3 linked regions of the Neodiprion lecontei genome follow. The protein of the gene in region 3 purifies or fractionates together with the protein of the main gene of each other region. This does not show direct contact. Links are inferred from orthologs where the notes say so. Each region holds a gene or a part of one and is shown on either strand. Other genes may lie near its edges.

Region 1 (6,904 bases), on a different chromosome or scaffold from region 3:
GTGAAAATGAAAAACTTGAGCGTTTCTCAAACTCAGAATGACGATATCTTTCCGATGGGTATAGCGTATAAATAATGATTGATGTTGTGAGTGCGACAAGGGTGGACAGGAGGACAAGCGGGGTGAATTATTATATATTTTCTTTGCTAACTCCGAAACCATCGAATTATCGATTCATTTTTCACCGGAAACTAAACTCGCGATTTTAACATTTGATTCTGTGAGTCAAAATATGTTTATACATATAAAGCTTGAAGAAAAAACGGAAAGTAAAATAATAAAATATTTTCTCGGAAGTATGAAAAACTCTCTTGTCTCAAGGACCGCAAGAAAAGTTGTTTCATATCGTTGTACAATAATAACGAACAATAATGATCGACTACCCCAGCGTTTTAGCGTATTTTAAAAATCGCGTACCGCAGAATGTCGATAAAGAAGTGTTGACGTATCATAGTTAAGGGTATATAACACGTCGTGTAGTTATCACGTGTATAATATACATGCGTACGTGTATACCGTAAAAGTTATTCGAAAAAAATAAACGTAAGTTCGGTTTATTGATTTAAAATTGCCAAATGACATGATACGTTACATGTTTGTACACATTGCGACTGTTTGCCTATTCCTTTAATAATTATACTAAACATAACACGGTTGAACTGCATGTACGCGAGGTGTTGATAATTGAAAGAAGAAAATAAATAATTCAATGAATAAATAAGAACTGTTAAATCTGCCGCAGACATCACCGCACGCATTATGCAAGGGAAGTGTTGTTATGTTTCGTTTTTTGCTACCTCGCGGAACTAGCATAAGTCGTGCCCCATCCAAAATCGAGGTAACTGGCTTGAAGAACAGGCAGAGAAAACGATTCGACGTGTAAAATTGTAGAACCGTTATTGATCTTTGCGGAGCGAGAAACCTGCACGTTGAAGCATACCCCGAATATATACGAGCGAAAACAGAAAAAAGAATAAAACAAAAAAAAAATAAATAAAATAAAAAACCCAAGAAAGACGACAAGAGAAAATAAAATGGAATAAGGTAATAATAATAACAACAATAATGATAACCGAACACATTATATGGCGATGAATGTGCAGAGGGTCGACGAACGAGGGTGGAAGTGGGAGAAGGAGGGAAAAGCGGGGGCAGAGACTTCGTAAACAGAAGGCATATATAAACATATACATATGATATAGCTTAGAGTGCAGAGAAAACTGTGGAAAGAAGCTAACGAAAATCTCCGTTGCGTTAGACAAAGTGCTAAAACAACGACGACGACGACCGCGAATTGATTCTTTGAGTCGTAGTGGTAAGTATTCTTACCACCTATTTTATATCCATTTTTTGTATATTTAGAGAACTTTGAAAACATGTTTCTTTGCGGTTTTTTACTATTTCTAATAGTATACCAATAGGTTTTCAATTCTCGAGAGTAATTATTGCGACACAATGTAAGTTATTATTATTAGAAATAAATTGATTGAAAAAAATATTGAAAACTGAAGGAATAATTGATTTCTAAGAAACATCCTTCTACACATATACATGTTTAACATAAAGTATAAGATTTGGGGTCGCTAATTACGAATCTGTAATTGTATTTAAAAGATTCAAAATGGCTGATCCAATATGGCGAATGAAAATTTCAAACTCAATAGAATCCGGAGAAAAAAACTCTGTCCCGGGGTTTTTGGAGTCGCTAATTACGAATGTGAAACCAGATTTCGAAAATTCAGTACCACGAATCTAATCAGCGACCCCGAAGACTCCTGCATAGTTTTTTGAACTGGATTCTGTCAAATTTGAAATTTTAGGCCGCCATATTGGCTCCGCCATCTTGAATTTGTGAAATCTAATTTCAGATTCGTAATCAGCGATCCCAAAAACATATAATACTGTCTTGTTACAAATGTTGACTCGGCACAATAATCTGTAACTCCAAGGGTTAATATGCCGTCTTCCTTTTAGCGCGCGTTATATTTATTATGTACATTCTAGCCGCTCAATCAGCTGTTTAAGAACAGCTGTATGACCGTATAATATCATCTACCTGAACATATATACATACATACATACACTCTGCATTCGTGTTACGAGATGGGTAAAAGCGCAGCCGCCAGTTTCGCGAACAGTAGTGAAAGAGAGAAAAAAAAAACTGAGAATCGATTTCAAAATGGCAGAGAGCAAAGCAAAAAGTGATAGAATGACGAAACAAACAGAATGAAGACTATCGCGAAAACATGGTTTGGCGGAAAAGGTTGAAAATAAAATGAAAGTTGAATCGCTCGCGTAGAATTGAAAATGAGAAAACTTTCAATAGGCTAGAGAACGGGGGAAAAGAGAAAGTTTTTGGAATACGCCAGAAAAAAAGAAAAAAAAAAAAGAAAGAGAGGCAAAGTATAGACGTACGCTGTGAGAGAGCGCGCTGCGGCCCAAAGTATAGTTGTACGCTGTAGGAGAGAGAAAGAGGGGCGAAGTATAGTCGTGCGCTGTGAGTGAGAGAGACCGCTGCTGCCGTCTCCCACCCCAAGCGCTGAGACAGAGAGAGAGAGCGCGCGCACACGCTGGAATAGAGAGAGAGAGAGAGAGAGGGAGATCGCGCGCACTATAGCAAACGAGCACTATAGCCAAAAAGTGTCGGTTTTTTGGTGTCGTTTTTTTCCGCCTAGCCCCTACGGTGAACGAGCGATAAGGAACTTCGTTCCAAAAGAAACAAGGATTTTAAAAACTATCTGCAAATTGTAAAAATTATGCATCCTGCAAGAAATTACGTCGAATTTGTGTTTTCTTATTCTTACTACTCTCGATTTTCTGACCTCTGAAGTGATAAAAATTTTTAAACGCGTGCACGTACAAGAGGCACGTATTATACATGTTCGTGTGTACAGCAATCAGCTGGTTGTTAAAAACAGCTGTGCGGTAGACGGAGAAAGACAGAAAAGGAGGGATGGAGAACTAGCGACGGCGTTGAGGAGGGGATGCACCAGGGGCGTAACAACTGGGGCCCCCTAATATCGACGGGCATGTAAACTGGTTAGGAAACATGAGTGAATGATGATGAAATTGGAGAAAATTTTGAACGAAATTACACGCATTGAAAACGAAGACGATTAGAAAGGAAGGACGATGGTGATTGGAAGTATGAAAGGATATACGAGAGGTCGGAGCATGGTTAAAATGAATAATTTATTTTACACATAGGTATTATGTATGTATGCATGTGTAAAGGTACGTGGATGCATGCGGATGGACGCGTTACTGACGAAACGTCGAATGAATGACTTATCGGATTCTCTAACAACGTCTGGTGTATCGCAATTTATAACACGTGTGTCAATAATAATTATTATTTTCTACAGTATGTTACATATTATGCATCATGTATACTGGCAATGTTTTATGAGTCAAGGATACAATTTGATGACATCGGTGTCCATACGTCGTTTTCCAGCGCTTGGTGACGACATGTTTCTTGTTTAATAGTGACAACAACAACAACAACAACGACGACAACCAAAACACGAAGGGGAAAAAAATGTACTAAAATAAATAGAAATTAAAATATAAATAAATAAATATCCAAAACTTTTATCGTATCGGTAGATCGGCTTGCCGATCGAGTGCTGGGTCTGCTTATGTGACAGCGACGATGACGGTAAACACGATCGGGGGGATTATATTTCTCCTCCAGTCTGTTCGGCGTAACATTAACACTGTCTACACGATTAGACGGATAAAAAGAAATATATTCTTTAGGTATTTTTCACCTCCACTACTGTTAGCAATATTTCAATAATCAGGTTCGCCAGATTTTCCGAAAACCCGCAGCAGCACACTGAACTTTAGGTTATTTCACTTATTTTTATTCTTCACGTTGTTCCGAACTGTCATTGACGTTGTAAATTTGTGAATTGTTATAATCCGAGCACACTGAATCACACTTTGGTGGACAATTGATCACCCTCTCGTCGTTTAATTAACTAAGGTAGGACGACCTGGTTTGATGAAATCATGAAATTGCAGCAGACCTTGCGGTCATCACAACTTTATACACATGGGCGGTCGGTTCTACGAGTGGGCGAAGAAGTGGGGGGTGGGATGTGAAGTAAGGCGGTGAGGAGGGGAACTAAGGAGTATAAAAACACGTCGCGACGCAGAAGCCAAGTAGATAAGAGAGAAGAATGATTAAAATTGAGAATTGGAATTAAAGCAAAGAAAATTAAAGATGACGAAGCGACTCGGGGAAAACGATCGACAATGCAAGTAAATTCACGCAGGGTGATCCGCTGATTGTGAGCGAGAAAAGGATAGATAGACGGAGAAAGAGGGAGACAAAGAATCGAGCAGCTGCGTAGCCAGAAACAAAACACGTCCGAGTTTCATGTGTAATTCATGTGTGGGTAGAGTTAGTTAATGTATGTATACATCAAATGTATGCACGCGTATATTTTAAAACCTATGCGCAGCCAGAGGATACCAACAGCGATTGAGATTCGTTGACGTTCCTTTGTTGTCGCGTTATGTATACCTCACTATCTATACTATTTATCGGAAAGAAGATATGTGTACGTGATTTTTTCTTTCTTGTTTTTTTTTTGTGAAAAGAAAACACTATCGAAGAAAGAAGCGATCTCCCTTACCGACAACGAGATCCACGTAATTATCGAAGTGGCTAGCCAGCTAGCTGGCCTAGGTTATTGAAAAAACCGTCAGTCCGCACGTAGCGTAAAACCGAACGATTCCTCTTTGTCACCAAACTCCACTGCAACCCTCACAGGAGAACGACGAGTTTACGCTAATGCTAGATAATCATTTCGACGAGGATTGATTGGTGGGCTGATTTTCTTTAACCCGACGTACGTACGGTGTACGTTCGTATGTATGTTACACACGATGCACGACGACGACGCGACGATCTATGCATACACATATACGCGCTCCGTTTTTCCCTTAGTTATTATGTATGCAGGCGAGGTTTTTCAAAATTCGCTACGGGCTCTTCTTTATTATGCCTTCCCGACCCAGTTCGATTTCAACACAATTTTACTGCACTTCGAACCTGTTCGTCTTATTTTCTTTCTAGTTCGCCTGTCGCACATATACCATATTCCAGAACTCTACTACAGTTTTCTCATCGTTTTCGCTCTCACACTCGCACTCCGCGACCTGTCAGCCCTCTGACTTGGCGCATCTGACTGACTGTTTCACCTAGCATCCCACCACCGCGCGCCTCCATCCCTCTCCAAATCGACGGGGTCGTGTAGCTCTTTGTCGCGCGAACACGCTGCGCACTCCTACGTTGACATACCTATGTATCCATGCAGTATCGTGGGCTGCTTGTGTACCACACACACAAACACACGCACACCATCCGCAGATTGCATGTATCTGTCCTTTTTCTCTCTCCTCTCTTCAAAACTTGTTTTGAAAGGTGGCGCCAGCAGCTGCCAGCAGGTGGGAAGGAATTCTCCACCTTAGAGCATATACTACTGGAGAGAGCTGATCATCCCATCGATCTCGCGAAAAATACAGCGGAAGTAGTGAGAGATAGATATATACTAGGGCGTGTGTAGGGTTACTCTGCGTCTCTCACTCTGCTTTTGATTGGCTTAGAGAAAACGTATCGGCCAATCAGGTGTGGAGCGAGAGAGATAGATTATAACAAACATATACCTCTTTCTCTCTCACTCCTCCGCTACACTCTCTGTATACGCAAGCTACCTTCAGAACTCCTCATGTGCAGTAACATCCTATGTAGCTATTACGGGTACGAACAAATCCCACGAATATTCCCTATTATTTTCTAGAAATTGGTGGCTGTTGGGCAAAAGCTATAACGAACCTACCACCCGTAAACCTAATAGACGTAATACCCTGTAGCGTATTTCGGAATAACGGATAATTGGTTTGGAATGATGAATTGCAATTTAAATATAGCCCCCTTGTATTTATCAGGTTCTCCTAGTTAGATACGGCTGACGGCCAACAGTCTCAGGACTATCGGACATTTTATTTCTCCGTAAAAATCCTGGATTTTTTACCGCACTTCAGACTTTTGCTCGGTTTTCATCAGTTTTCATACCATTGATAGCAAATAATAGAACCCACGCCGAGAAGCGTTATTTCGATTAGTTTCGACTTGGATCGTTGACAGCGCTCGGAATCCAATGCTATACTAAGGTAATATTTTTAGGCCGTACACTAATAGTCTTTTGCGGTCTTTGAAACACAAAACAAGTTTTGTAATTATTATTGGCAATATTTCTGTTGCCCAACGCCGAACAGCCAATGTACGGAATCATTGAAGTGCTAGATGTTCTTTTAATTTGTCACTTCAAGTCACTTCGTTTACTCTACCGGTAGAGAATATAAATTAACCTAACCCATCGTGTGTTAGTCGAACGGTTGACGTTAATTTACGTAAATTACAAGACTACAAAATTTCATAATTCGGATATTTAATAGCTTCGTTTTTCTTCTTTTCCTCCATTTTATCAAGGATGAAAGAAAAATATATTACAAAACATACGATACATATATGGTCGTTTCCGAAATGAAATATTTTACAAATTGTGAATTAACTATGAAATATGAGTTTCGTCCATTTTTTTTTTACAGATTTTAAATGTATTAACAGAATGTATGTAACAGAATTCAATTCAATTATGACAATTGCTAGTATCGTTATCAAACACGCACGTAATGACACAATACTAAAAGTTCTGTCTTCAAATTATTAAAAACGCGTTTTCTTCCTCATTTTTTTTCTGGCTAACTATTCCCTAGTAAAAAACAATTTAAGTTGTTTTCAAAAGTCTAGAAAGAAGTAAGGATGCGTATACGTATATATATATATATAATCACAGTGAAATTTTAAAAACACATATTCTTGTTAAAA
Region 2 (9,649 bases), on a different chromosome or scaffold from region 3:
CTGAAGTTCGATCAGTAAATATACATAGATGTATATCTAGTCCATCACTATAATCATAATAACACCTTTGATCAAATTTGAACTAAAAATTGTCAAATCGTTTGAATAATCATTTGAAATTATCAGACACCGGTTATATCGTACTGAGTACGTCAATGTTTCCTATCCTGGCTGCGCCAGACAATATTATATTTTATTGTGAACTATATGTACAATTACACGTATAACTAATATACTCTACAAACTGCAGTAGCAGACCTTTGATACTTGGTAAAATAATACTTTTTTTTTATGTATACAATTATACACCTTGTCTTTTCATTATTTCAATCAACTTTATATGAGCTTACTTTTTACATATTACACCTGGCCACTTCAGGACTAAACTCTAATGGATTTAATTTTCGTGGGGGACAATCCTTCATATTAAGCAATGGAGACAATAAAAATGAAGAAAGAAAAACGAGAGAACTGTTGATGGATGAATTTGAATCACTTCGATTACTGAAATATGTGTATGTGTACAGTGTACGATTAGTAACCAGTTTCATTTAGGCCAAATATTTTTATATTGTCATCATTTAATTGAATGTCATCGCATATATTATCATTCTTTAAGGACATATCTGTCAGTCATCAACATTTATTAGTATGTATAGTAATTTATCATCAATAATTATATTTAACGTCATATTCTTGCCTTATTACAAGAACGATAGAATTCGTTTTCAGATGTGCCTGTCCAAATTGCTTTTTACGTACTTCAATTGAGAAAAACTGGTTCTAAGATTTTACGACGGAACATTGAATTGTAGTTATGCCAGCTCGGCATTGTGACAGTAATTTGTTTGTACCACGAAATAAACCATTGATTTGAGCCGTTGTGAAATAGATTATATCAATGACCCAAAATATCGCAAAGTCTGCAATGTAGTCAAGACAATCGATGGCGAAGTGTAAGCAAACATTTTAATTAAGTGAAAACATGTAGAGAGATATTTTTACCTTCTAATTCAAACACGTAATTCTCCACTTACATTACGGTGAAGCGTTTTAGCGGCGTATTTTACATTCTTCATGCTTAAACTTACAAAAACAACTGTTTCCAGAACCTAATTAGTTTTATACCCAGCTTCAATCACCGATTTGTAAATAACATTGAATACATGTAATTTGCCTTATGTAAGGTTGGCATCGTTGTTGCTACATTTTCTCACTGAACTTCTTTTTCTCATTTTTTAGTATTCCTACTCTCTTCGGCAATTAAACAACAGTCTCAAGTTTGGTAATTATGAATACATAAAAAATTATTCCAAGATGTGTATAAAATGTAATGAGCTGCTTAGACTTTTTGAAATTTGATTTGTACTTAAAATCAAAAGATTGAGTCAAACCGTTTGGAATTCAAAAATATACAAAGTTTTTGCGAACCATGATTTCGAGCAAATCTAGCAAAGATGAACGAAGTATAGAATTCATAATTGAAACTGACAATTGAGTGTCATGCTGTGGTTCATTGGTGATATTGGATACCAGGTTCGATTCCTGGCTCCGTCGTTAATTTTTCAACTCACCTGAAAATTTCGAAATTGTACTCTTCAACTAGCAAATTTTTCTCGCTATAAATATGATATGTTGTATTTCATATCAGCAAAAATGAACGGCCCGCCGTTCAAAATTGCTAAATTAATGTAATTCACATTAATAGCCACATACAGACGTCACATGTGTGCACATGTCAACAAGCTTCACACACAAAGTCAAAATATGTGCTATCGTGATGAACTTTAAATGTAAATATATTCAAGGGCACACGAAAACGAACAATGTTTGAAATACAGGTGATGAGAGAAATTAATGACATGTAGTCAGGGCGGCTAGGTGGTCTAGTGGAGTAAGTCTCCGGTAAAGCATCTCTAGATACCAGGTTCGATTCCTGGCTCCGTCGTTAATTTTTCAACTCACCTGAAAATTTCGAAATTGTACTCTTCAACTAGATATTGGAGTTTGTGACTCATTTGTCTAAGATATTATAAAGTAGCAACACGTTGCGGCCACACCCACGAATATTTTCCAATGCGTTTTGTGGCAAAACTATTAGACATAGACACATGCTCTCGCTACTATTTAACAGAGTTCATTGACACCTTGAAAACACTGGAGTATAATGTTTTTTATCTGTAAGAGTTCAGTCAGCAGTCACAAAAGTGTGTAGTCCTGTTCCGCCTTGGCTTACGAATGTTATTATATCGCCAAAGCTATTGATCTGGTTGTAAAAAAATATAATCTATCCATAGGAAAAAAGAATCAGTCGGTTCAGTAATTCTGGAGTTATAAGGTAACATCCGCACAAGCAAACAGAAGGATGTTGAGTTTCATGTACATATGTAGTTAAGAGAAGGAAGAGATGACTCATAACAAATGAAATTTACGGTAATTTCATGATGATTTACATATTTATTGAACATAAAGATGCTATTCAGCGAAAACAGTCTGAAGTACTCTCATACCGAATTTCTGATCAAATTAAATATTCCCAACCGAAATCAACACTCTTCGGGATTAATAATATGGCATTTTCCTCTGCATTATTGTGATTCAAACACAGGAATCTTCAATACATGTGATACAGTTTGTACACACAAATATCCAATATAGTGACAGCATAAACGCTGTATGTCGTGGAGAATAATTCGCTGAAATAGAAACTATAATTTTTCACTGAAAATAGATTTTATTTTACGATTAAGGTGTAGCATACAAGAAGTGATAATTTTTTATTCAAAATTCACATGAGAGAATGAGATAGAGAAAAAAAAGATTCTACTTTATATTATACACTTGAAAATATTTATAGTACGAGTATTTTACATGACGTAAACTTTTTCAATCTTCTTATATGGGAATACTTCTTTGGTTTTCGGACAGATGACAGTTCCATTGTTTTCCTGTGCCATTTTCTCTAAAGCCTGTAAATATTACATTTTTAGCAACGATACTGGTTAAATCTACTTTACACTTTTTTTTTGTATTAACAATTGCCGCCATAAATTTTTATTTATTGCATGTCTCCGCAACTCGACCTTTTCTTTTCTTCAGTGACTGAAATGATTCAAAAGCTTTGACCTGGTTCCAAAAAGTGAAAACATTGCTACAAATGTTCGTAATCGAGAAAAAAATTTAATTCACTATATTATGGATGGAAAAAAAAAAAAAAAAAAATGAAAACCGGGGTAACTCACATGTTCACCATATACATATCCATTAGGCATCATCATTGGTTGGTTGTATTCATTCAGTGGTTTGCCGCTGATACTGCAGACAAGTCGAGATTGCGAACAATGAGCAAAAGGTAGAGTAGTTGCAAGTTCGTTTAATGCCTCGTTACAAACTGGGCAACTCGGATTTTTGCCTTCCCTGTTAACGCTGTAGCATTGTGGAGTTTTAAGAGCGGACAAACCAGCCTGCAATGCCACAGTGAATACACTTTGACTAGCCAGTTGAAATAGCCTGTAGTTTTCATGGCGAAACTGTTCAATCAACCTTTCCCATCTGAAGAACAAATTTTTTTTGTGATTAAAACTATTGCAAAGAAACAAGAAGAAAACGTCGATGTTGATGAAAATGTTTATTCCTACTGGGGACTGAGTTAGGATAGTTAGCATATATTGTCTTAGTCGATCATCCTACAACAATTCGACCTAAACTGCAAATCCTTTTCAAGAAACTTACTTTCCACCATAGGAAGTGTGAAGTACGCTGAAAGGTTCAGATTTTTTGGAAATCGTCTTAGCAGGTATAAAGTGCTACTTGACGCCTGCAAAACATGAACATTTTGCGTGGATACTTTACGCTTATTATGACGAATAATAATGTTCACACCTTTGGAACAAAAGTACTATTAATTACCTGGAATATTCAGGATTCACATAGGCAAACAAACAAGAACACAAAAACTAGTCAAAACTTACATTATTTTAATCAGGGGAGGCAAGTTGTTTTGAGGTGGAAAAAAATGTAAACATCACTTATTCTTCAGATACGAACTCAAATTTCTTGGCCAGTTATCCTTTCGAATCAAGGCCCCAACTTCAAAACCTGTTTCGAGTTCAAGTGCTACGAAAAGTAAGGGTCCCTGTATTTACTACTTATGTTACATTAGCCTAATTATAACTTTGAAGTCTTAATTTTTTTCTTTTCCTATATCAGGAGTCGCTTGATTTTATTAATAGAGATGCTTAACGCATGCTCTCGGAAGGAGTCGCATAGTTCGAGTGAAAATATTGGAGGATGATCGATTAAAAAAACGTGTGATTACTACCTTGACTTGATGGCAAATATAAACATTATATAAGACATCGAAGAGAATTCTACATGTAAACATCGATATCAAATTCAATTTACAGATTTAAAAAAATTTTTTTACGATCAATCCGAATTAGGTAAATTAATAACAATACAATCATTTATAATCTAAACTCTGAATAAACTGAAACACAAATTGTAATATAAAACTGAATTTATCGAAAAGTTACTAAAATAACATTAAAACAAGGTACATTCTAGAATCTAATTGAACCAATTAATGAATCGCACCTTTTTTCGTCAAGCAAATCTTTATAAGGACTCAATTCTGTGTTTACTGGAAATGCCAATAGCCCCATACAGCACTGAATTTCTTGAAGCTGGTAGTCATCATAGTTGGCAAAGCACTTCCTGGCATGTTTTACCGCATCTAGTCGACGATCTGCTCGTACCAATTCAACAAACTCTTGTACACGTACGTTGAACTCCATAGTGCTGCCCAGCTTGCGCAGCTTGGACCGATTATCATGACACCATCCCAAGCATCTTGTTGTCTCATGATTGGCCAAAGATTTTTCCACCTCTCTTGATACCATAAACACATCTGGAATAAAGATGAAGAGGTAAGGTAAGTCTGGTATGACGGGAATTTTAAAAGTACTAAAATAAAATTAAGTTAAAAGATTAATGAGATTTTATATTAAAGATGTGATAAAGATCAATATGTAATCTTGAAGTTTAACTTTCATTCTTTCTAGATTAGAGTTAGTTCGTTGGCATGTTTTGATCACCAATCCACACAAGGCCTTGAGTAATTGTGGAAAAGTAAAATTTTTACTTCGTTTTTTTGATATCAAAATGATGGGGTTAAAAATTACAGATGTTCTTAAAAAAACGTTCTACTAATAGGTAAAATCAAGAATGTCACCTCTGTACGATTGAGTCATTTTAAAATAGCTAATACCTAAACTGGTAAAGAATGCGGAATGAATGAAGTACAAAATAAATATGATTATCATTACATAGGTATTTTTATAATTGCACGAATTTTTCAGAAAGGAAAAGATAGTTTACAGTACGTGTTTCAATAGTCAGGAATTATCCTTCAGACAACATTACTGTTTACCAATGTTAGTCAGATCCCTTAATTCGCTATTATCAGCCAACTTGGTGGCAGTCGTATAGTATCCCTTGCGTAAGAAATATTCAACCAGCATCCTGTCCAGTCTTTGTCTTCTCCACTGGTTGACAGCACTTGGCGCTGTATTGGCATGTTCCTTCAAGTGATCCAGTCGTCTTTTGCAGACCATACCAGCCTGTAGCTCTTCTGCGATTGATTCTTGTGCTTTACGCTTGAGCACTTGAAGTCTAGCTACAACACCTCCTAACAGACGAGTTATTTCGCCGCTGGCCACCCCCCCTGATTCTCCCACTAATCCTTTCTCCAATTCGTTTGCCGCTGTCTGGACATGAGAAACTTCACGATCCAAAGTCTTTTGAGCTGATCGAAATTTTTTATTTAATAGCTCGTACGGCACCTAGAACACAATTAATTGTAAATTGGATCAGATATTCACACAGCTTGTATTGTTGATATCGGTTTTCAGTAAGCTTTGTTCAATAATTGGAAACTAAATACAAAATTTAATCAATCTTTGAAAATATTGGAGTGATGTGTGGAATTATAGGAAGTTCTCTCTTGACAATTTTTGACAATAATCGATTGTTTTTCAGTATTACAAGCCAAACCAATTGTTAAATGCAGATTTTTTCATTTTTGTATAAGAATCTGTTGACAAAAACTGTTCATCCATTGTGTCGTCTCCCTGTAATCAGTGCAGGATATTATAATTCGTGAGATTGCATGCGGTACATGATTTGATGGGAATAAAATGATGCTATTTGTGAATTTTTACATTTTGTATGTCTTACATATTTATATCTGAATTTTGACAATATCTCAGCTAGAGGAGAAGGTCAAGCTATGCGTTAATTGAATCATTACTTTGTCATTTAAATAACACAAGCCAGTGAAAATTTTTGTTCTCTAGTTCTCGTTAATCTTGGACAAATTTCTGAGAAACATCTTGAAGGTGTGGACGAAGAAACAACGATAGACAAGCGTGAAATGTTCCAAAAAATCGATCCTTCGGAAAAATGAATAAAAAATCATCTTGGATTAAATAAAAAAGGTATGCTCAGTACCACAGAGATTCCGGAATTTTTTTATTAACATCATTCGAAGTACGTCTAATATTTTTCATGCTTGAAGTTCTAATGTAGGATGCAGAAAATAGTTGTTATTCTAAGTGTGTTTTAACGATGAAAATGATAATGTGTCGAAGTTTTATATAAAAATGGGATAAGCTGAGTGTAAAGCGAAAAATAATTATAATTGGTGTTATTTCTAAATGTCTTATAATTCAGCTATTTCAAAATAGTATTATTAATAATAAATGGTCTGCAATCTGTGGACTTGATATTTTACATCAAAATAAGAATATACGAGGCGCGTAAAATATCTTGACAATACAGAACAAGTACGAATTGTAATCGGCTGTAGTAATCCAAGGTCAAGCAGGGAATAAATTGTTTCAGTTATAAATAGGAGAAAAAAAAAAAAAAATCAGATCTGCCATGTGTACCTCGACAATAGCGTTATCATCAACTGTGAATACATTATTCAGACAGGGTAGAAATGGCATTGAGTAAGTGAATACAAATAGTATTCTTCATGTTTTTGATACACCATAAATTGAAAGTAGTATTTACTTGTCAAGAAATGACAAAAAGAAAGAAAGAAAAACTACCGTAAGACTGACCATCACAAACTACAAACGAGTGATTTACACAAAAAACAATGCAAAGATGAAGTCTGCCTTTGGGCGAGAAAAAAAATTCTTACGCGGGTGTGTATGACAGTTATTCAAAGAATTATTCGTCAATCTTATCATACTTTCATAAAAAACGATAACAATATTGGGAAGTTCAGATAACGGCTGTAAAAGGAAACCTTTTTTGTTTGCCTGAATATTATAAGTGTCTGAAAGAAGAAAATTTTCCCATCGTGTAGCCGAGTTTGATGAATTCGAAGAGGATTCAGGTTCAGCCATCATAATAAATTCTGACGTTTCGAAGTGACGAAACATGCTTATTTACCTTCAAAGTTGGGTGCTCCAAGCTCTTAACGTCCGACATGTTCAATTCTCTTCGAATTAAATCGCTCCAATTTGATTCAAATTATTCTCTGATGTCGTGTAGTGTCAAAGAATTGCCAGTGGAACGCCTTGACGGACTACGCATTAGTAGCTGAAATCAAAACCCGTCCATTATCTTCCAGCTGACTGGTGTAAACAGACCTCGGACCATACACTCCAAACAGACTATGCTACGGATTTGCGTTTATACAAGACTTGACTGCAGTTTCGCCTAACTTGGTGCTACACGCGAGTAAATAATGAACTTGCAACATTTGTGTTTCTCGAACAGATGGCGCCATTCGAAAGATTGCCAGTCGACATCTCCACGTTGTACAACTGCTTTGTATCGTCACTTGAAACGTGTTAATTGTTGCCGCTGAATTACCTCTCTTGCTCAGTGATGCAATTACCAATTTGTCAATCTGCGTGATACTAATTATCAATTAAAAACAATACAGTTTTGCGGTCAAGCGAAAGGTATGTACATACCTATACATACTACACGTAGAAAGAACAAATCCGTACGACACAACTTCCCGATGCATCGAAACGACAGCGCGTTGCTTACGAAGATATAAACGACGAGTGATGAGTGAGCTTTCGACGTGAGCGAGGCTAATCCTGTTTGAAAATACTCTGAAATAAAAATCGCGTGGTTTGCGAAACGTGTCGGAAGGGGTATCGGCGAACATCCATCCATAGCTGGTTTGACGATCGGCGGATATTCGAACGGTGAAAATACATTGGACAACATTTGTAATTCAGTCGTTCGTATTATTTCGGCGATGATCGGAGGCGCGCGCTACTCGCTCGGGGGGGCCGCCATTTTCCTCCAGTGAGGGAGAGAGTCGCTCGGCCGTGCTTCGCAAGCGTTCTCTGTTAATTATTACTTATTTCGGTTGACAATTGAGTGACTTTCGCGAGTGCGGGGTGTCGGGTGGGCGCGCGGGACCCTTGGGCCCAAATTGTGCAACCAAAAGCCCAAAGTAACAAGAAAAACTCGGGTTAAACCGGGACCAAACACCGAAACGCCAAGTGCGCCCGACTAACATTGTGTGCCGTGATTCGAAGGGTGATTCTCCAACGGCGAAATATTACACCGTCACTCATCTCGGCGAATGATTGATTCGTTAGAAAGAGGTACGTAGACAAATCCCTACATAATTCCGGTGCATAATCAGCGATAGTTTTACCGGGTTCCTGGCTAGGATGCCTACGCTCTGCCATCCATGCGTCTTTCTTCGCAGGCAAACGCAATAAGCATCGGGCAAGCAGGCGGGTAGATAGATGCACAGATAGGTGGCCTAGCTATAGCCGAAGAATATCCGAAGCGCGCGTGTCTGCGCTCCAATTCATTCGTGGGTGTTACGTGTTCGTGAAAAGATGCGTGGTTTACGTCGCTGATATGGCGGGAGTAGAGACGCTTCGGCAGCCACGCGCATTTATTTCATTCCTCCCCCTTAATACGCGCACTTGTCGGCTATTCGACCGACGGCCGCGGCGTTCTACCATCGCCTAACCGCCAGCTATCGCCATTACGTTACACTTGTCGCTTTCCTTCTTCGCCAAACTTTTACCTTTTACATTTATTTCTTATCTACCCCCTCCTTCCGTTCTCCCTTACCACTCCTCCCCTCTCGTTTCTCTCTCTCTCTCCCGCTCTCTCTCTATCTTTGCTTCTGTTACACCGTAGTTTACTCGTTAAACACGACTTCACTGGCTTCTTTAATATCGGGCCAATCGACGTCTTTAATTCGCGTTACCATGGAAGAAGAAATTGTGGCAACTTTCTCAACAATGACGATCAGACTATTTCGGCCATAACTTTTCATCATTTGTTCTATTCTTTAATTCCTTAATTTCTAGTTGTGTTAATTTCGGACAACAAAAACGAGTCTGTTGAAACTTGAATTTCAAACTTGAGTTCGGAACGCATGTATGATACCAACACCACGTGCCTCCTTCATTGTTACACTATACCGTTAATTGTACGACTGAGTAGAGAACACTTTTACCGAAGAAATGATTCATTTATAATTCATTAAACGTACGTACGTTCGTTCGTCGCGTCCGATCATTTTCGCACTGTGCGAAATAATACTTGACATACCTACATTGCTGTCGAGGATCGTTGAGTTTGGTTT
Region 3 (12,062 bases):
ATCTTGTTTGCATCTGCAAAGAATAATCGACAAATACCAAGAACGTTTATGCAGTAAGTGCTTTACTTCCTGATATCCTTGTACTACTGGCTCAATCAAAAATCAAACTTTCTTATAGATCTAGCGCAAGAAGAAAATGCCATGGGTCGATTTCTGAAGGAAGCTGGTAAGCAGGATAAAACTAGAGCTGGCAAGATGATGTCAGCTGTTGGGAAATCTCTATCCTACTCAGGGCAACAAAGACTTGCTCTCAGAGCACCGTTAGTCAGATTGTATCAGGAGGTTGAGACTTTTCGGCAAAGGGCAATTGAGGACACTTTGCAAAATGTTCAATCTATGGAAAAAGCTAGAACTGAATATCGAGCTGCCCTTTCTTGGATGAAGAATGTATCTCAAGAATTGGACCCAGATACTTTTAAGCAACTGGAACGGTTCAGAAAGGTTCAAACTAGAGTTCGAAGGTAGGCATGTGTAGTTTCAATGTAGAAACACTATAAAATGAACTGCAACGTTTTAATTTTAATCAAATCAGTTTGTCATTTGTACTCCTATAATCAGGAATTTGAGAACCCCAATTTTCTTTATTTCTGAAATTTCTGAAAAACAGAATAATAGAATATAACATACATGTTTCCCATTCTCTTTGAAACGTGATATACTAGAATAATTGGCTAGGATTTAAAAAAACCCTTTTATATGTTACAAGTGTGGCAAAACTGATTTTAAGTCTTTGTAAAATCGAATACATTTTGTAAAACATAGTCGCAAGTGTTTCAATTTATGTAAGATTCGTAAAGCATTATTTTTTCAAAGAACACTTTTGTTGTTCTATTGCTATGATGTTATCTTGGTTTTAACAGAGGTAAATCAGCGTTTGATCACTTGGCTCTGGACTGCCTGCAGAAAGTGGATTTATTGGCAGCGGCGAGATGCAATATGTTTAGTCACGCACTTGTTCTGTACCAAAGTACCTTGTTGAATTTTACCAAAAAATCTGCTCAAGCATATGCAACAATTGCAAACAGCTTCAAGGGCTACCAACAGTACGATTTTATGGTTGTAAAGGAACTTGCGGAGACTTCTATCAAACTGGCACAAAAAACAGGCGGCAACGAGGATCTGGATGACAAAGATAAGTGAGTGAACTAGCAATTTAGGTAATCTAAATGCTTCTACCAAAAACTGTTGGTTTTATATTGATATTATAGATTATTGTTCTTCGAGTCTGACTATCATGACAATGTGGAGGAAGCTCAAGAAGTGAAAGCAACTGATGAGAAGAAAACGGAAGCAGGTAACATCGAGAAAGATAATGATGAAAAATTACTGGATATTGGAGATGATTCGCATATTCCAGACAATACGGAATTGAGTCTTTCACAATTGAATTTGAATACTGACGATGAGAACAGAGATAAAGGTCTTCAGAGCTTTTTAAACAGCACCGAAGACAAGGAGCTTGCTGATTTCTTTAATAACATAGATCCACAGACCAAGAAATTGAACGAAGAGAAATCTGCAAAAAAGATAGACCAAGTAAAATTGGATGAAAGTCTGACACAGCTGGATTTGGCAATGGATTCATTTACTGGCACTGGTGTTGGTTTTGATTTTACCAACTCTCCACTCTTTAATCCTCAACAACAACAACCGCAAGCACCTCTTGACTTGTTAACTTCAGAAAGTGTAGCCTTATTTGAAGAAATTTTAAATACCACACCTACTACGAGTGCCAATGATTGGGAAATGATGTCTGGTGATACTTTCTTACCACCCGGTATATTGAAACAGAGTTTAGGAGCTGCCACACTTGGTACAAATCAGAAAGATCCTGTTAGCGCAAGCAACGACAATAAGGCGAGCACATAAACGAAATAAATTTTAATCTTAGTAAAATAATACTTGCTTCTATAGCAAGCATTGAATTTTCGAGACTTGCTATTGCTATTCACTAAGTAATAATTGCCAAACATTTTCATTTCAGCAGAACAAAAGTAAATCAAATAAAACAGGAAACTCTTGGCTGGACTTATTTGCTGAGTTAGATCCACTTGCCAACAATCCGATGGATAGTCTAATCAGCGATAGAAATGCCCCTGCTTAGTCCAACGTTTTTATATATATATATAAAATATTTGAACTAGTAATTCGTCATTATTTATATGATGTGGCCATGTTTAATTTTATACGGCGTTACAGGTCTGCCGTTGTTGAATACATTATATGGCCATTATTCCTAGTCATTTAGCATCCTTTAAATTTAAATTATACTTTTAGTTTTAGAAAATGTAACTTTTAATTATTATTGAGAGTGCAAAATATTGAAAGAAATCTCTATAATGTAAGTAAAAATAACCGAATTAAAAGTTACCTATATGTCTATTTGTACTTAATTGAAGTATCTATCGTTACTAACGAACATTCCGACATGGAGATGAGCATAGCAGTTTATAAAAAAAATTAGTGAAATATGTTCACGAATCTCGTACAATGTTTAAACACAGAGGAATTTATACCAAAGAGTTTCTACCGAAAATAATCGTATTATACATATTTAGATGTATTAGACTACATTCAAAATTCTACGGATTTGATCGTAATTTTTAATAATAATATATTATTACATTTTTACAGGAATTTATTATTTAAAAATGGCTCCTAGAAATACGAGACCACTCTTTGTTGTGTGGGTTTAAATTAATTTAATTTAATTACAAATTTTTCGATATTTTCTGTACTGTACTGATCACCTGTCAAATCCATTATGAAAAGGGACGTGTTGACCACAATAAAAGTATTACAAATGACGTTACGCTATTTCACGATGCATCAGTTACCCATACGATCCTTCACATTTTGACGTAAGGTAGTAACTGATATTTCACATTTGTCATTCCATAAAATGTATTACCATGATCAGTTTGTAATATTGTGTGATATCAATGGGATTCGTTTCAATGTTACTATCGTAAAAACTCCCAGGACGAAAAATGTTATAAAGACAAACAAATCTGCAGTAATTTGATTCAATTGATTAAAAGCTTTTTATCAATTGTACGAAAAAGAAATACGAAGGGAGACCTTACTCACAGGCATAGCTTAAAGCGAGATTTTTTTAAAATCTTGAGCACCTAATCTACAAACAGGGAGCACATAAAAGTACATAAACGATCACAGTATGGGCTGGGTTTGGATTTGAGTTTACAGTGACTGATTGTTATTTGTGAATTTTACGGTTGCCGAAGGAGGTTTAAGGAGTTAAAACCGTTTTAGTTGGTAACGTAACTGAATCAGTCGGTCGATTTTGTACTCAAGCATCGGTAAACTGAGACATGGCAGCCTTTACTCTGAAACGAAAAATAAATATAATTTTCAGTAAAAAGTTGACTTAGAAGTTTGTTCTGATATTTGAAGAAATTAAGGAACTGTTTCTCGTATTATTCGAGTTGGATAATTTCATAATAAAAAATCTTAAATATTTGTTTTTTTATTTATGATTCTGCATGATATAAAATCATAGAGTAAAAACAACTCGTACTCAAATTTTTTTGAACTATTCGAAAAAGTCAAACCCATTGAAAGTGTTAGCCTTTGTTGACAAAGTAAATTATGTAAGTGAATGGAGGATTGCAACTCATTATCTTTCATTATCTTCAACTGATCATAACTAATTTCTCGTCGTTGTAAAAATAAAGGTCGTAAAGGCCGAAAATTTTAGTGATTATATTTATGTACATGTACATACTTTTCGAATAGCTGTGAGTCCTTGGTGTGTCGTAATTGTTGTAAAATACGGTAAAGGCCTAGTTCGCGTAATCGTGCCTGACGTTGCGCAGCCCCGTCCTCTTCCCTCCAGACCAAATTACATACACAGAAAATAGCTGCCACTTGTAGCTTCACATTACTGTGCATCTGAAGACATTAAGATCGTTAATACTGATATATTTCTATTTGTTTTATGTCAATAGTTAGAAATATGATGTGATATGAATTGGTTTTGTTAGAAAAGAAACGGAGTAAATAATGTATGCACAAACCATGTAATCCATGAGTTTCTTCAAGACGTCTTCGTTTGCCATGATATGATCGCGTGCGCGATCCCCATCGGCGACATTTGCTAGAATACACAGAGCTTGCTCTTTGACATCAGCTGGGTGTTCAGGATCTTCCAATACCAGAATGACAGCTTGCATCACGTGGGCAGCATGCTCTGCCATAATACGATCAATGTGTGCCTTTGTTGACAGAAGATTTCGTAACAAGCCAAGTGTTTTCATTAGAACAGCCAATTCCGGATCAGCAAGTAGACGAAATATTTGATCGGTACCGAGACAAGAGAGGATTTGCGATTTGACACGCTGTTCAGCCTGGAAAGCCACATTCATCAGCGCCCAAATACCGTTTAGGCGTAGCGCAGGGTCTGGTCGCCTGGTCAATGAACATAACAACTCCACTCCACCTGATTCGAGAATAGGCTCCTTACTTGGGCTAAATTCCAATAGCAGGTTGCACAGGGTGCTAGAGGCCACAGTTAGCAAGTCCTCTTCGCCTTCTAATCCCCTACCTAATGGTGTAATATAGGTAATACAACCAAGAGCGATGGGAACCAAAACAATACTGATTGGAATAAAGTGCAGTACATCGGTTCCCTGTTGAGATGATGGCGCGACTCATGCCCTGCATCTCCAACTTCTAAATGACTCTTTCACAAATCTTCAATAAACATATGTGTATTGGAGTATTTTTCAATACTCAGGGCTGGCAGCAGAAAACTCTCAAAATAGTGAAGCAAGAGGTGCAATTTTGCAAAAATGAGTCAAGATTTATAGCAAAATAATGGAGATTGGAAAAATTTGGTAATTAGTTATGTTTTTGGTGTGCGTTTGATTACCGTTCTTACTTTTAATTAGTTTATTTACACCTTATGTTGTAAAACCCTGTCGTGAGTGCAGTCTTCAAAACAAACAATTTCTATTTGTTTTTTCTCATGGCCTTCTCAAAGTTTTAAAAATTGGCTCTGTTGAAAATTGATTAAGCTCGTGGGCCGACAAATATAGGACAAAGTCAGGAAATTTACAATGATATTTGTTAATTGCAGGTACTTGACGCAGTTTGTGCAATTGTAAAGCTCAATTACGATAAAATGACAGAAACTCGATGACAAATAGCGCACTATGATTAATCCAACTGTCAAAATTCAAATGCGACCTGCACCGCGCATAAATTGAATACACACTTAGCAAAATTGTCACTAAAAGAGAAATGTGACTCCTACCAGCGCTAATTAGATATTTTAATGGTGGTAAAACTAAATTGAGTAATCATGTTGAGTTATAGAAAAATTCTTAAGACCAATTTAAATGTATTACCGACTGTGGAGTTTCAAGGGCCAACGCGAACCGGAATGTAGCTATACGATGTGTCGTATCGTTTGCGTAACATACTGGCACTCTTTCCATATATCATAGGCTTATTGCGCTTAGCATTCGTACCCTCTAGTCCTCTGTCTGCTCCATGTAATAGTTGCATAAGTGGTCGCCATACTGCGTGATCTTGAAATGTGGTGCGCAGTTGTTGCACACTTCTCGATAGCGAGTGCAAGCATCGAACTGCCGCAAGTCGTACTCGTGGTCCACCGGGATCTTGCAAACCGCCCACCACCTGCTCCATCAAGTTCTCTGTTTCAATGATCCTCTTACGAATATCTTCATCATTTGCACCCAAAGATGCAAATGCTCTGAATGCCGCTTGGCGCATATCCTGCGAAAGCGTTGCATCTAGCACCTACAAGAAATAATGTAATGTAATTTTCACCTTTGCATGTTCAAAACTTAGTTAAGCTGATCACAAGTCTATTGAATAGATACGTGTAAGGATCACTGTACAGATATTCAGTTCAGTGTCTAAAATGCTCCAATTACGTTCTGAGGTTTTTTTTTTTGACGAACAAGATGCCTTAAATGACATAAAAAGTTTTTTTGCTTCGACTACGCTGCAACTATGAAAATTAAGAATTCTTACAGGGTGCGCGAGTAAAAATATTAGAAAAAGTTTGTATTATAATAATCTTACTGCACATACACTAAGCCTTCAAAATTGGAATAATTTGTTAGCATAATTACCGATGGATGTGGCTTCAGCAATTCTGCAAGGTTGGATATAAGGTGATTGCTAATAGATGCTAGTCGTTGTAGGTCCGTGTCGACTTCGGTCAGGTACGCGAGTGTTTCTGCTGCAGCCACTCTTTCTCTAGGAGGTCTTTCTCGATGACAAAGCCTTACCAAACAAGGCAGTGCCCTATATACAACTCGTGGATCTGTCGAAGTCAAAGCGCCAGCTCTATGCATATATGCAACGCACCGAGCTGCCTCGAGTTGGACTAGTGCGCTTCTTTCGCGACCCATCAGCTGGCCCAATGCAACTGGCACGGCTCTGTTCAGAATATAAGATAAATATAACAAAGAACATAGTGTGTAATTGCAGGCATAGAAGAATGCCAGATATCGAAAAATCCAATATATTTAACCAGGAATGCATTATTACTAGTTTTACAAATTCAGATCACGGTTTTTAGAGCAAATAGTACTTCAAATATTTCATACTACTTAATCATATTACTACTGAAATTTGGGTACTATTTATTCTATTACTGTTAAGAAACTGGAAAAAATGAAAATATAAAAACAGTTCAAATATTTATGAGTTGTATGAAAATCTATGATGAAATTACGAGAGTATTGTGACTGACTAAAATTGTCTGCAAATTACTCAATCTGATTAATTCAGGGTATAACTGACCTGCCTTGAGAGCTGTTGGTTGTAGCTGCAGCAACTAGTGCAGATACCGTGTGATTCTGATAGCACATATTTGCAAGGCAGGCGAGAGCTGGTAGTTGAACATCAGAAAGAGGAGAGTCTAGCTGCGTTGCAAGCGCACCAACAGCTCCACCTCGGGATAGTGCATTCTGCTCTTCAGCTGTCTGCTGTCGCGTTATACATAAATGAATCAAACATATCAATGAGTTCAGAAACATATTTATCATTTGGTACAGACTTTGGTTTGAAACAAGTATGTAGAGTTGTCATTGAAAATGTGTATGTATGGTTGATCGACTTTACTCACACTCATACTCGTTAGGCAAAGTCGCATGCACCTAATGAGTATAAGTGGGAGTAAAGTCGATCAACCACATATACACAATACTATCAATGTGCACAACAATAATACTAGACGAGAACGATTAACGTGACAACGGCGGGGATGCCTCGTGGTACAGTGGGTATAAGTCCATGGACAGGCTTCCGCTGGTCCCGGGTTCGATTCCCATGGTCATCCATTAATTTTTCTCATTGTAAATTTATTTCTTTCATATACGTTATCGAGAAAGTTCACTTCAAAAATTTTTGTATATTAATGTTGTTTACTTTCAGATGATAATAAGATGGGGAAAAAATATGTTGATTTAGATGAATTATTGGCTTGTATAACGTTGTAACTTACAAATTTTGAAACGTAATTGTTACTCTAATCCATACATATAAAGTGAGCGTAAGTTATATGCATTTTTCACAATTATTAATGAAAAATATCTCAAAATCGTGTTTTGCTCTACAGTAGAGCTTTCACAGTTTAATACTTTTCTTTGAATCACATTGCAACTTCTGTCGATTGTATTATCGCAGTGGTCGACTAATTATAAGATGAATTAGTGGCAGAACACAGTGAAAAGGGGAAAAAACGTATGACGATATGGAATATGACAAATTCTGCAACATTATTTCGTACTTGGCTATAATCTGACAATATTACTCTTCTTAGCTTTTCCTGAAAATTTCAAAAAGTATGCCTTACAATGTTATTCAAGCTAATGGTTCCAATTTTGCTTTCCCATTGAGGTAAAGAAATATAATTATCGATGATTCAGAGTTTGGATAAACTATATCCGAAGAATATGGGTGACAAAGAAATGTTTAGCATAATCGCAACAATATTATTATGACTATATTCATGGCTTATCCAAACTCTGGATTTCATAAAAAGCCTTTAGAAACCCTCGCAATATTAGCAAAAATTTAGTGACATCGTTGATGAATACACACATGGTTTTATACTTTCAAGATTTGTATGAAGATCTATACAACCACTGTACAAAAACTCAGAGATACCAATTAAAAATACCAGGATTGAGTTGATAAGAAGTAAGCAAAAACAAAAATTCAGCTACATATTGTAGACAAAGCTTTAAAGAATGCTGCAAAGATTGCACTAATATAGAATTAAAAAATTCCACGGAAGGAGATTAACATGTATTACAGGCACTTAAAACCAATCACATAAACCAGTTTTTCATTAATATGAGGTTGAAGGTTATTAATGCTACCATAACGAAAGGTGATCATCTTAATTTTGGAACTTCAGACTATTTTAGAAGATGTTAAATTGTAATGTATAATCAGTTTAATACTATGTTATAGTTTACTGAATTTCAGTTAATCCTAATGTTACGAAGTAATTACTGTTGCCAAAAATGTACTATAACAATACCATTACAAACTTCGACTTCTTCGATTAATGAGGGTTGATCACAGGAAGTTTCAGAGAAAGATATGATGCATCATTGCAACACGTAGTAATATGTAGCGCAAAAGTGAAAAAAAATCAGCACTATAAACGTGAATGAGAATAATCCTTAGTACCTTGCACGCTGCTGTTAAAATGGTAGCAACACACACTTGATTGGTAACAGATTTAGAAGCTAGTGCCAATAAGCGTGGAACCAATCCAGGATCCTGATATATAGCATGAACAGGGGCTGCTGTGTGGTGAAAAACGGTCCTCAAACATCTGAGACATGCTTCGACCAATGGTGTTTGATTATCATCGTCAGGTTCGTTACAACGATTGGTGCTGGCCAGCAGCACTTGCAGCAACAGTGGAACTACATTCAGTTCTATGAGCGCTCTGACATGCTGATCAGTTCCTTTCGCTAGGGAACCCAAAGTAACAGCAGATTCAAGCCGCACACGATCTCCTACTCTTCCGGTCGAGTCACTTAGCAACTGCAGCAGTCTAGGCACCACGCCTTGCGCTATAACTGAACCCTTTTGCCGATTGCTTCCAATGACTGAATTTTTTAGGCAGCTGTTGAAAATTAAATGCAAATGTAGACAAATTGATGTAAATGACCTGCTTTGAGGATAAATCATGAAATAATTTTGTTTATTTCACAAGGTTGAATGCTCATGTATGACTTAAAACGCTGCTGTTGGTCATTTCCAATGATCGATAAATTTATGGAATTGTAGAGTAAGAACAGTCCCGGAAAACGAAAACATTTTATAAAGCTGTGCATGGAAGAAATACTCTTAACAAAGAAGAGAATATTGCTCAGGGGTACTTGAAGTAAGGTATAATATATGACAAGTTATGACATGTAAGTGTCTAATGGATGGGAAATGAGACTAGATATTTTATGTCGATGAGACGTTTTGAGGTTAGGATAGTTGAAAAAATCGTTTATAGATACTCACATAATAGCCTCCAGGCATTTTTGGCCACTGGGAGAATATAACTCGTCGATGTAGCTTCTAGAACTTTCAACGTCCTAGAAATGCGATGACATATCATTGAATAATCGAAGTAAAACCGTTCATCGACATTCAAGATACAAGTAGTGAAAACGTCAAGTTGCAGGCCGGTTGTCACGTATCAGGCAATATTGTTGTATTGATATACTCACCATATACGGCTGCATCAACGAGACCATGGCTCTTTAAAATAGTAAATACACTATTACTCTTTAGATTAAGATATTTTCAGATCGCCATTTGACGCATGGAGTATTTAAATAATTTATTATTATTTTTACGTAGACGTAAACGCGCTTCTGCTACACAAGGTTACGAAACTTTTAGCCATGTCTGGCATTGAAGCGTGACGGTAATATGTGAACTAATCCGCATACGAACTAGGTTTGACTTAAAGCCTGGAGCACAAGAAACGACGTCTGCCGAACATGGATCTCTGTGAACCAGCCCCCTGACACACGCTGCTAAAAGTGGTTCGCAAAATGTCCCTCGATTCTGCCGCCGATCTCCACCACTAGTCACGCTAGTAGTTGTCTGACAAGCTTGCGCGCGGTCAGCGAGAGCAGCGAGCGTGTCAGAAGCACGGTCTTACATACAGGTCTGGTAACTCCGGCACTTTTGAGTGGTAGGGGGTGTCACCGGTAGTGAGGCACACGGTCTTGTTTCCTATCTATCCGCTAGGGGCGCCACTGGCCCGGGCTATGATAGATATAAATATATACCGATAAGATAACCTGCTCATCGAAGTTTTTGACAGTTCATAACTCAGTGTAAAGTGTGTAAACGGTGGATCATCTACACAAGATCTCAAACTGTCTCAAAAGTTGTGAGCCCTCGCTTGATGTTTATGGATTTTATTGACTTAAACATTTGAGAATTCCTTTAAAATAAAACAATTATCACGCCCGCCATGGAATGCTAATAAACATCTCAATCATTTTTATTCGCATCTTTCATCAGTTTTGAGTGTTATTCAGGATTGTTGATTCCGAAAAATCAGCTGTTCTTATCTGATTTATGATTGGCTCACCCCGAGGGGGCAGCGCTGCAGACGGCGAAGACGAGAACCACGGTTTTGCCTCATTATCTGAGTCATTCCCTACCCTACTAGTTTCCGGACCTGTATGTAAGACCGTGGTCAGAAGTCTACTAGCGCCACGTAGAGGAACTAAAAAACGGGGACAAAACGCGTACAATTTTTTAGTATATGAGCAGTGTTGAGTGTCAGGGGGCTGCTGAGAACGCATCCGTCCCATAGACTTATAGTGATAGGATACGCGGTTTTACGTGGCTACTGAAGCAGAGACCGAATGAGACCGAAGGACAGAGTTAGTTCTGTCCACGGTCTTACATACAGGTCTGGAAACTCTGGTGGTGGGGGCTGAACGCTTGAGAAATAGCATTTAATTCCCGTTGGAACCGCTAGAGGCGGGGTGGTAGAGTAAGGTTATTGGGAAAGAGATAGAAAAATTGCAGGGCAGTATCAACAAAGATTCTCCATCAAATTATATTGTTTCTAAAATTCTCGAGGTAAATGTTAAATGATATACTTGAAAACATCTTTAAGTACATTTGGAAAATTTGGGAAATTTATAGGTTGTGTTTGCAAACATTACCTTACGACAGTGCGAACTAGCGGCAGCGTCGAAAAACCAAAAATGCGGCGTAAGCGTATTTCCCTCACCTCGCAAATTTCGATGAGTTTCAAGACCTGGGCCGTGTTCGACGATCTCTTCTTTTTGATGAATTCCTTCAAAATGATAGGAGCGCATGCGCAGAACGTACTTCTTGCTGCGCGAGACCGGCACTTGCGTAAATTATTACAATGAGAATATAACCTCAAAACCTGGGTAAATTGGTCAAACCACGAATCGAACACTGTTGGTATTGTTTTCACTGGCGATTTTCCTTTATACCTAGAACAAAAGATGTCTCAGAAGCAACAAGTTATGGTAAAACACATAACTTGTTGACACATTTTACCAGGTGTTGAGGTTATATCCTCATTGTAATAATTTGCGCATGTGCCGGTCTCGCGCAGCAGGAAGTACGTTCTGCGCATGCGCTCCTATCATTTTGAAGAAGTTCATCAAAAAGAAGAGACCGTCGAACACGGCCCTGTATGTAAGACCGTGGTTAAGACGGACTCAAAAAAACAGGAGTGTCAGGGGGTTGAGCGAGAGATGCCTCCGTCACCATTGGCGTATAGTATGGCCATAGTATGGACTATGCCTAGACCAGTAAAGGGCGTGTTCGGAAATTGACTGAAAGTACTGTCATTACTGAAAATGGTGAAAATCCAAGTGACGTATACTGTAGATTTTCAGTACTGACAGTACTTTCAGTCAATTTCCGAACACGCGCAAAATATGGTCGGCTGGTAGAAAGAGACAGCGATTAGAGTGGAATGAGAGTGGAGGTCAATCTTTGTTTCTTTCTATTCAAGAACGCAGTAGTATGATTTAGGGCCCTTA

The links.
Region 1: the proteins of armadillo repeat-containing protein 8 (region 3) and ubiquitin-conjugating enzyme E2 H purify together in Homo sapiens (affinity purification with mass spectrometry; 3 studies listed by BioGRID and IntAct, with this or other methods). This does not show direct contact. The link is inferred for Neodiprion lecontei from reciprocal best matches to the Homo sapiens genes ARMC8 and UBE2H.
Region 2: the proteins of armadillo repeat-containing protein 8 (region 3) and E3 ubiquitin-protein transferase MAEA purify together in Homo sapiens (affinity purification with mass spectrometry; 5 studies listed by BioGRID and IntAct, with this or other methods). This does not show direct contact. The link is inferred for Neodiprion lecontei from reciprocal best matches to the Homo sapiens genes ARMC8 and MAEA.

Annotation. Positions count from the first base shown.
Region 1 is NC_060264.1:30,548,974-30,555,877, reverse strand, and holds the start of ubiquitin-conjugating enzyme E2 H, read right to left. Parts: upstream 5,215-6,904; 5' UTR 4,647-5,214; intron 4,641-4,646; exon of another isoform or gene 4,002-4,640; 5' UTR 3,474-4,001; coding exon 3,421-3,473; intron 1-3,420. UniProt on the Homo sapiens protein: Accepts ubiquitin from the E1 complex and catalyzes its covalent attachment to other proteins. E2 ubiquitin conjugating enzyme that transfers ubiquitin to MAEA, a core component of the CTLH E3 ubiquitin-protein ligase complex.
Region 2 is NC_060260.1:13,757,965-13,767,613, reverse strand, and holds E3 ubiquitin-protein transferase MAEA, read right to left. Parts: upstream 7,707-9,649; 5' UTR 7,504-7,706; coding exon 7,465-7,503; intron 5,844-7,464; coding exon 5,432-5,843; intron 4,910-5,431; coding exon 4,597-4,909; intron 3,553-4,596; coding exon 3,243-3,552; intron 2,970-3,242; coding exon 2,868-2,969; 3' UTR 2,715-2,867; downstream 1-2,714. Other genes in the region: equilibrative nucleoside transporter 1, read left to right, coding at 380-555.
Region 3 is NC_060265.1:17,571,029-17,583,090, reverse strand, and holds armadillo repeat-containing protein 8, read right to left. Parts: upstream 10,021-12,062; 5' UTR 9,768-10,020; coding exon 9,741-9,767; intron 9,606-9,740; coding exon 9,532-9,605; intron 9,143-9,531; coding exon 8,698-9,142; intron 6,981-8,697; coding exon 6,799-6,980; intron 6,433-6,798; coding exon 6,123-6,432; intron 5,785-6,122; coding exon 5,493-5,784; intron 4,565-5,492; coding exon 4,038-4,564; intron 3,913-4,037; coding exon 3,746-3,912; intron 3,348-3,745; coding exon 3,311-3,347; 3' UTR 2,598-3,310; downstream 1-2,597. Other genes in the region: islet cell autoantigen 1-like protein, read left to right, coding at 1-53, 119-461, 861-1,136, 1,209-1,857, 1,985-2,104. UniProt on the Homo sapiens protein: Component of the CTLH E3 ubiquitin-protein ligase complex that selectively accepts ubiquitin from UBE2H and mediates ubiquitination and subsequent proteasomal degradation of the transcription factor HBP1.